Linked DNA regions of Mus musculus. The protein of the gene in region 1 binds, or shares a complex with, the protein of each later gene. Links are inferred from orthologs where the notes say so. Each region holds a gene or a part of one and is shown in the gene's direction. Other genes may lie near its edges.

What was found.
Region 2: the proteins of Alb (region 1) and Fcgrt are in contact, whole or in part, in a crystal structure (PDB 6QIO), measured with the Homo sapiens proteins. The link is inferred for Mus musculus from reciprocal best matches to the Homo sapiens genes ALB and FCGRT. Residues at the interface, in NP_000468.1 of Homo sapiens: Arg105, Glu106, Thr107, Tyr108, Gly109, Glu110, Asp113, Asn133, Asn135, Gln441, Ser443, Pro445, Thr446, Glu449, Leu484, Leu487, His488, Thr491, Pro492, Val493, Tyr521, Val522, Pro523, Lys524, Thr530, Phe531, Thr532, Phe533, His534, Asp536; in NP_001129491.1 of Homo sapiens: Arg65, Glu67, Glu69, Gly72, Ala73, Val75, Trp76, Gln79, Val80, Ser81, Trp82, Trp84, Glu85, Lys86, Thr89, Arg92, Asn172, Lys173, Leu175, Thr176, Leu179, Phe180, His184, Glu188, Arg192, Gly195, Asn196, Trp199, Lys200, Glu201.

The regions. Positions count from the first base shown.
Region 1 is NC_000071.6:90,459,360-90,463,674, forward strand, and holds the start of Alb (albumin preproprotein), read left to right. Parts: upstream 1-1,510; 5' UTR 1,511-1,575; coding exon 1,576-1,654; intron 1,655-2,361; coding exon 2,362-2,419; intron 2,420-3,340; coding exon 3,341-3,473; intron 3,474-4,315. UniProt on the Homo sapiens protein: Binds water, Ca(2+), Na(+), K(+), fatty acids, hormones, bilirubin and drugs. Its main function is the regulation of the colloidal osmotic pressure of blood. Major zinc transporter in plasma, typically binds about 80% of all plasma zinc.
Region 2 is NC_000073.6:45,100,766-45,105,125, reverse strand, and holds the start of Fcgrt (IgG receptor FcRn large subunit p51 isoform 1 precursor), read left to right. Parts: upstream 1-1,303; 5' UTR 1,304-1,486; intron 1,487-1,852; 5' UTR 1,853-2,056; coding exon 2,057-2,123; intron 2,124-2,454; coding exon 2,455-2,712; coding exon of another isoform or gene 2,713-2,724; intron 2,725-2,940; coding exon 2,941-3,216; intron 3,217-4,360. UniProt on the Homo sapiens protein: Cell surface receptor that transfers passive humoral immunity from the mother to the newborn. Binds to the Fc region of monomeric immunoglobulin gamma and mediates its selective uptake from milk.

The DNA.
Region 1 (4,315 bases):
GTACTTGTGAGTTAATAATACAAATACATTCAATGACTTAAGCATTACATACTTGTTTATGTTTATCAAGACCCACACCAGGACAGGACTAGGCATGACTACTGTCTTCAAATAAATAGTGACTACTCTTTCTAGGAAGTTTAAAGAGGAATTGATCCAAGAAAGAATTATCTCTTCTGTTTAGTTTCTTTTTTTCTTTTCCAGGATGGGGTTTTGGCTTAATTCTGCCACCCACCCTCACCCTCAGTAGAAGTTATTCCATGGGCAGACTTTATCTATCTATCTATCTATCTATCTATCTATCTATCTATCTATCTATCTATCTATCTATCTACCTACCTACCTCCCTATCCATCTATCATCTATCTATCTATCTATCTATCTATCTATCTATCTATCTATCTATCTATCATCTATCTATCTATCTATCATTCTGTTCATCTGTGTAGAGGCTAGTCTGTTATTCCATTTCAGGACTCTTTTGAGTGATAAAACAAGCAAGGAAACACTTTTCCCTTCTCCTTCATTTTGCCTTGACTCCTGTGGTTGATTACAGAATTTGTACACCTTTCTGAAGATGAGGACACAAGATGAGGTCATAAGACATAGATTTCTTTCATTGTATAACCAGATATAAAGAAGAATGCTTCTCCTCCTCCTCCTCTTCCTCCTCCTCCTCTCTTCCTCCTTTTCCTTCTTCTCCTCCTTCCTCTTCTCCTTCTTGTCACTGAATAGTCCCTGTATATTTAGGAACCATGGGGTTGATTTGGATGTAGTCTTGACTGACTCATAAGTGAGATAACTGGTCTGCTACTAATTATTATCCTGTGGTGTTAGAGGAAGTATGTTACGATGGCAAAGACCATCATCACTGTCATTGGAGTGCCTGTTCTAGTGTCTCCTCTAAAGCACCCCGAGAAAGAGGTTCATGTTAGATGAAAACATTCTACTCCAGACCCGTTTCACACATAGCCTGAGCATGGGGTGGGGACACAAGACTTCTGAAAGTCCTCTGCACTTGTTTTTTATTGCTCTGGCTTCTTCTCAGTTCACATTTGAGACACTGTGTGCTTTATGGAAGATTCTAACTTTAAAAAGATGAGAAAGACTTGGAAGCCCTATAATGAGACCCACCCCTCCCTCATACACATTCTTCATTACCTGTACATAAAAGCATATTTGGGATGAACAACCTATGCAATTCAGTTCTTAGCTTTTAAATGTGGCATGCTTCCATGCCAAGGCCCACACTGAAATGCTCAAATGGGAGACAAAGAGATTAAGCTCTTATGTAAAATTTGCTGTTTTACATAACTTTAATGAATGGACAAAGTCTTGTGCATGGGGGTGGGGGTGGGGTTAGAGGGGAACAGCTCCAGATGGCAAACATACGCAAGGGATTTAGTCAAACAACTTTTTGGCAAAGATGGTATGATTTTGTAATGGGGTAGGAACCAATGAAATGCGAGGTAAGTATGGTTAATGATCTACAGTTATTGGTTAAAGAAGTATATTAGAGCGAGTCTTTCTGCACACAGATCACCTTTCCTATCAACCCCACTAGCCTCTGGCAAAATGAAGTGGGTAACCTTTCTCCTCCTCCTCTTCGTCTCCGGCTCTGCTTTTTCCAGGGGTGTGTTTCGCCGAGAAGCACGTAAGAGTTTTATGTTTTTTCATCTCTGCTTGTATTTTTCTAGTAATGGAAGCCTGGTATTTTAAAATAGTTAAATTTTCCTTTAGTGCTGATTTCTAGATTATTATTACTGTTGTTGTTGTTATTATTGTCATTATTTGCATCTGAGAACCCTTAGGTGGTTATATTATTGATATATTTTTGGTATCTTTGATGACAATAATGGGGGATTTTGAAAGCTTAGCTTTAAATTTCTTTTAATTAAAAAAAAATGCTAGGCAGAATGACTCAAATTACGTTGGATACAGTTGAATTTATTACGGTCTCATAGGGCCTGCCTGCTCGACCATGCTATACTAAAAATTAAAAGTGTGTGTTACTAATTTTATAAATGGAGTTTCCATTTATATTTACCTTTATTTCTTATTTACCATTGTCTTAGTAGATATTTACAAACATGACAGAAACACTAAATCTTGAGTTTGAATGCACAGATATAAACACTTAACGGGTTTTAAAAATAATAATGTTGGTGAAAAAATATAACTTTGAGTGTAGCAGAGAGGAACCATTGCCACCTTCAGATTTTCCTGTAACGATCGGGAACTGGCATCTTCAGGGAGTAGCTTAGGTCAGTGAAGAGAAGAACAAAAAGCAGCATATTACAGTTAGTTGTCTTCATCAATCTTTAAATATGTTGTGTGGTTTTTCTCTCCCTGTTTCCACAGACAAGAGTGAGATCGCCCATCGGTATAATGATTTGGGAGAACAACATTTCAAAGGCCTGTAAGTTATAATGCTGAAAGCCCACTTAATATTTCTGGTAGTATTAGTTAAAGTTTTAAAACACCTTTTTCCACCTTGAGTGTGAGAATTGTAGAGCAGTGCTGTCCAGTAGAAATGTGTGCATTGACAGAAAGACTGTGGATCTGTGCTGAGCAATGTGGCAGCCAGAGATCACAAGGCTATCAAGCACTTTGCACATGGCAAGTGTAACTGAGAAGCACACATTCAAATAATAGTTAATTTTAATTGAATGTATCTAGCCATGTGTGGCTAGTAGCTCCTTTCCTGGAGAGAGAATCTGGAGCCCACATCTAACTTGTTAAGTCTGGAATCTTATTTTTTATTTCTGGAAAGGTCTATGAACTATAGTTTTGGGGGCAGCTCACTTACTAACTTTTAATGCAATAAGATCTCATGGTATCTTGAGAACATTATTTTGTCTCTTTGTAGTACTGAAACCTTATACATGTGAAGTAAGGGGTCTATACTTAAGTCACATCTCCAACCTTAGTAATGTTTTAATGTAGTAAAAAAATGAGTAATTAATTTATTTTTAGAAGGTCAATAGTATCATGTATTCCAAATAACAGAGGTATATGGTTAGAAAAGAAACAATTCAAAGGACTTATATAATATCTAGCCTTGACAATGAATAAATTTAGAGAGTAGTTTGCCTGTTTGCCTCATGTTCATAAATCTATTGACACATATGTGCATCTGCACTTCAGCATGGTAGAAGTCCATATTCCTTTGCTTGGAAAGGCAGGTGTTCCCATTACGCCTCAGAGAATAGCTGACGGGAAGAGGCTTTCTAGATAGTTGTATGAAAGATATACAAAATCTCGCAGGTATACACAGGCATGATTTGCTGGTTGGGAGAGCCACTTGCCTCATACTGAGGTTTTTGTGTCTGCTTTTCAGAGTCCTGATTGCCTTTTCCCAGTATCTCCAGAAATGCTCATACGATGAGCATGCCAAATTAGTGCAGGAAGTAACAGACTTTGCAAAGACGTGTGTTGCCGATGAGTCTGCCGCCAACTGTGACAAATCCCTTGTGAGTACCTTCTGATTTTGTGGATCTACTTTCCTGCTTTCTGGAACTCTGTTTCAAAGCCAATCATGACTCCATCACTTAAGGCCCCGGGAACACTGTGGCAGAGGGCAGCAGAGAGATTGATAAAGCCAGGGTGATGGGAATTTTCTGTGGGACTCCATTTCATAGTAATTGCAGAAGCTACAATACACTCAAAAAGTCTCACCACATGACTGCCCAAATGGGAGCTTGACAGTGACAGTGACAGTAGATATGCCAAAGTGGATGAGGGAAAGACCACAAGAGCTAAACCCTGTAAAAAGAACTGTAGGCAACTAAGGAATGCAGAGAGAAGAAGTTGCCTTGGAAGAGCATACCAACTGCCTCTCCAATACCAATGGTCATCCCTAAAACATACGTATGAATAACATGCAGACTAAGCAGGCTACATTTAGGAATATACATGTATTTACATAAATGTATATGCATGTAACAACAATGAATGAAAACTGAGGTCATGGATCTGAAAGAGAGCAAGGGGGCTTACATGAGAGGGTTTGGAGGGAGGGGTTGGAGGGAGGGAGGTATTATTCTTTAGTTTTACAGGGAACGTAGTAAAAACATAGGCTTCTCCCAAAGGAGCAGAGCCCATGAGGAGCTGTGCAAGGTTCCCCAGCTTGATTTTACCTGCTCCTCAAATTCCCTTGATTTGTTTTTATTATAATGACTTTACTCCTAGCTTTTAGTGTCAGATAGAAAACATGGAAGGTGACATTCCTCAAGGCCATTAGCTCTTTGCTTCTCTGTGTTATCCATCATACACAATATTGTGGCACTTGACTATCATGAAAATTACACAGAAA
Region 2 (4,360 bases), on another chromosome or scaffold:
GGCTGCATGAGTTCCTGTCCTGACACATCTACCCTACCCCTCTGCTGCCTCCACGCTACCACCACCACCACCATTATTACACACGCACACACTTGTACACACACTTGATATAGACCAGAGGGAGAGGGAGGTCAAGGCAGGTAGGAGTGGTTGACTTTCTATTCTCTCTTAAAAAGGTTTTTTTTTTAATTTATTTATTGGTTATATGTAAGTACACTGTAGCTGTCTTCAGACACTCCAGAAGAGGGAATCAGATCTCGTTACGGATGGTTGTGAGCCACCATGTGGTTGCTGGGATTTGAACTCCAGACCTTCAGAAGAGCAGTCGGGTGCTCTTACCCACTGAGCCATCTCACCAGCCCTTAAAAAGGTTTTTTAGATTTATTTATTTTATTCATGCCTGTGTGTATACACGTGCCCCACATCCCTGCCTGGTGTTCAATGAGAAATTGTCAGACCCCCTAGAACTGGAGTTATGGGCAGCTGTGAGCCACCATGTGGGTGCCGGGAACCAAACTCGGATCCTCTGCAAGAGCAGCAGGTGCTCTTAACTGCTGAGCTGTCTCGTCAGCTCCAGACTTTCCAGACTCTTGCTTCTGTCTTTCAAGTGTGTGGGTTCCAGGCCTGCCCCATCACACCGGTTTTGCCCATCTACTTCAGCCTGTTGGTCCATCTGCTGACCACCAGTCGACCACTCACGGCTCTGTCAGTCTCCCTCTCTCGGCTGTTTATATTCCCTGCCGCCCAGGCCGGCCATGAACCCCTGGCCTCCCGGCCTCCATCCTTAGTGCTGGAATTACAGGCATGTGCTGCCGCCCACCCCCTTTCTTCTTTGCTGTCTATCTACCCTGTCAACCTACCTGTCTGTCAGTGTCTCTCTGTGTGTCTGTGTGTTTTTTCTGGCAAGATCTTGGGGTGGGCAGCAGGGTGGGAGACAGGGGCCAAAGGCAAAGGCTCTCATCACAGAGTGTGTAGGCAGGGTTGGGGCCACCTCAAGTGCTGGCACATGGAAGAAATCAGAGCAGGCTTACAGCTGGGAGTGGGCTGCTGCCAAACCTTGTGTGTTAGGCAACCATGCCATGACCAAGCCACACCCACAGCCCACAAATCCTGGGGTGTCTTAAAGTCACATTCAGCGTGCAGGCCTTTCCAGGGCTGCGAGTCTACTCCAAAAATGCTCCAAACGAGTAAACATAGAAGCTGTTTTGGGAGGCAGGCCTAATGACGTTTGCCCCGGGAGGCTTCCAACCAGATACAGCAGGAACTTCAAGAGAGGCTGGACAGAGGCCCAAGGGGTGTGCTTAGGAGCTAGTGGGTGGAGTTGGATGCCCTCAGAGTTCTCCAGTCCTAACTGTGTACAGACAGGATGTAAGAGAAGAACTGGAGGCTCTAAGCAGAGGATCCATCGGCTGCAGGCAGAGGGAAGAGGGCCTCTGTGAGGAACAGGCTGAGCGTCAGAGGAGGAGGCCCAGGCCTGGTTCTCTAGGTATGAGGGACCAGCACCCCAAGAGGAAAGAGGGTTGGGGCCTGGAGCTCCAGGTCTGAGGGAGGAGTGTTATGACCTGAGGGGGAGAGAGGAGGCTGGGGTCTGAGGAAGGAGAGCAGGACCCCGGGCACCTGAGTCTGAGGGATGAAGCCGGAGCCTAGGGTTTTGGGTTTGAGGAAAGATCTTGGAACTGGACTCCTGGATCTGAGGGAGGTGGAACTGGACTCCTGGCTTGGGTTTGAGGGCTCCTGAGGCTGAAATCTGAGCCCCTGGGAATGAGGGAGGAGGAGAAGGCCTGGATCCTCTGGTCTGAGGGAGGAGAAAAAGGAAATAACAGAAGTCTGAGACAAATTTTGGTCTGTCTAGCTCTGTAATTAATTAACTAAAGTGGATCAAATGAGAAGGTGAAAGTTCACAGAGGAACACTCCTGTCTGTCGTCTTGGACTGGGTCTCCATCCCACCATCCAGCGTCCTGGTCTACGAAGAGTCCACAGGGACCTTGTGAAGAATCAACAAGGCGGGGTCCAGAGGAGTCACGTGTCCCTTCCACTCCGGGTCACCCTGTCGGAATGGGGATGCCACTGCCCTGGGCCCTCAGCCTCTTGTTGGTCCTCCTGCCTCAGACCTGGGGCTCAGGTAAGAGGCCACCAGGACCTGGAGTGTGTCAGGAAGGGGACAGGAAGAAGAGCCAAAGAGTGGAAGAGGGACAATAAGTCCACTTTTTCCATGATGTCCTAGCCTTCATGGAAATCTCACTGTGGGTAACTTCTCTGTGCATCTGAGTCAAATACACTTGACAATCTCAGGCTCGTCTCTGTGTCCGTCTGTCCGTCTTGCTTCCTTTCTGGGTGTCTGTCCCCTTCTCTCTGGAGGATCATGGCACTTCAGATCGGGTCCAGTTTTCATTCTGCACCTCTGTGGGGCACGGTGCAGTCCGTGACCCGAGACTCTCCTGTTTGCTCTGCAGAGACCCGCCCCCCACTGATGTATCATCTCACGGCTGTGTCAAACCCATCTACGGGGCTTCCCTCTTTCTGGGCTACAGGCTGGTTGGGTCCTCAGCAGTATCTGACCTACAACAGCCTGCGGCAGGAAGCTGACCCCTGTGGGGCCTGGATGTGGGAAAATCAGGTGTCTTGGTATTGGGAGAAGGAGACCACAGACCTCAAAAGCAAAGAACAGCTCTTCTTGGAGGCCCTCAAGACCCTGGAGAAGATATTAAATGGTCAGAAGAGGGGTGAGCTTCAGTAGGCTGGGTTTGAGGAAGGATAATGGGTCTGGATTCCTGGGTCAAGGAAGGAGGCTGGAGCCCTAGGCCTGAAGTGGGAGGATTAGGTCTGAACCCTAGGAATAAGGGGGAAGGTTGGGATCTGGACCTCAAGGTCCGAGGGAGGAGAAGAGAGGAAGGCTGGCCCTTGCTCCTGAGTCTGCTTGCCTGCGTGTTGGCATCTAGGGACCTACACACTGCAGGGCCTGCTGGGCTGTGAACTGGCCTCGGATAATTCCTCAGTGCCCACGGCTGTGTTTGCCCTCAATGGTGAGGAGTTTATGAAATTCAACCCAAGAATCGGCAATTGGACTGGGGAGTGGCCTGAGACGGAAATCGTTGCTAATCTGTGGATGAAGCAGCCTGATGCGGCCAGGAAGGAGAGCGAGTTCCTGCTAAACTCTTGTCCGGAGCGACTGCTAGGCCACCTGGAGAGGGGCCGACGGAACCTGGAGTGGAAGGGTGAGCCCATCTCCTGTCCCTCCTCTAGATCTCCACAGCCATGCTCAAAGCCCACCCAGCATCAGTACAACCCCTCTCGCCTATCCCAGTGGATCTTCTTTAAGATAAGGTCTCATGTAGCCCAGGCTAGCTCTCACGTAGCTCAAGCTAGCCATGAGCTCATCGTGTAGCTGAGGATGGTCTTGGATTCCTGATCCTCTTAGCCCATTCCAAGTGCTGATTTGACTTAAGTGTGTTGCCACACCCAGCTAATTGTTCTTGTTTGTGAGACAGGGTCTCAGGCTGACTTTGAACTCAGAGAGATCTCTTGAGTGCTGGGACAAAAGGAGTGTGCTGCTGTACCAGGCTGCTTTTTCTTTTTCTTTTTCTTTTTTTGTTGTTGTTATAGTTAGACAGACTCTCCCAATGTAGACCACGTGACCTCAAACTTGTCATCCTCTTGGTCTCAGCCTCCCAAGTGCTAGGATTTTCCATGTCTTTTTCTTCTTGTTAACGTCTAAGAGTTCTTTATATATTGTGGACCCAAATCTTCACCAAATAAGTGTTTCAAACACACTTTCCTTGACTGTTTTCCTTTCATTCTTTTAAAGTTATCTTCAAATCTTTTTGTTTTGTTTTTTCGAGACAGGGTTTCTCTGTGTAGCCCTGGCTGTCCTGGAACTCACTTTGTAGACCAGGCTGGCTTCGAACTCAGAAATCCGCCTGCCTCTGCCTCCTGAGTGCTGGGATTAAAGGTGTGTGCCACCACGCCCGGCTTTTTTTTTTTTTTTTTTTAAGATTATTTAGTTTTGTATATAAGTGTTCGGATTGCATGTATGCCTGCTGCACACCAGAAGAGGGCATCAGATCCCATTTCAGGTGCTTGTAAGATGCCATGTGGTTGCTGGGACTTGAACTTAGGACCTCTAAAAGAGCAGCCAGTGCTCTTGACTGCTAAGCCATCTCTCCAGTCCCCAGTCCTCTTTTGAGGGCTGTGTTTTTGTTAGTATATCTTGCTTGGAGGTCATGCCCAGCCCAGGATGACCTAGGTCTCTGTGTGTATTTGGAGGAGTTTTATAGCTTTCCATTCTATGTATAGATCCTCTTGCTTTTCTGTCTAACAAATTGTATGTGAAGAAGGTCTGTCATTTCTCCATCCAAGTTT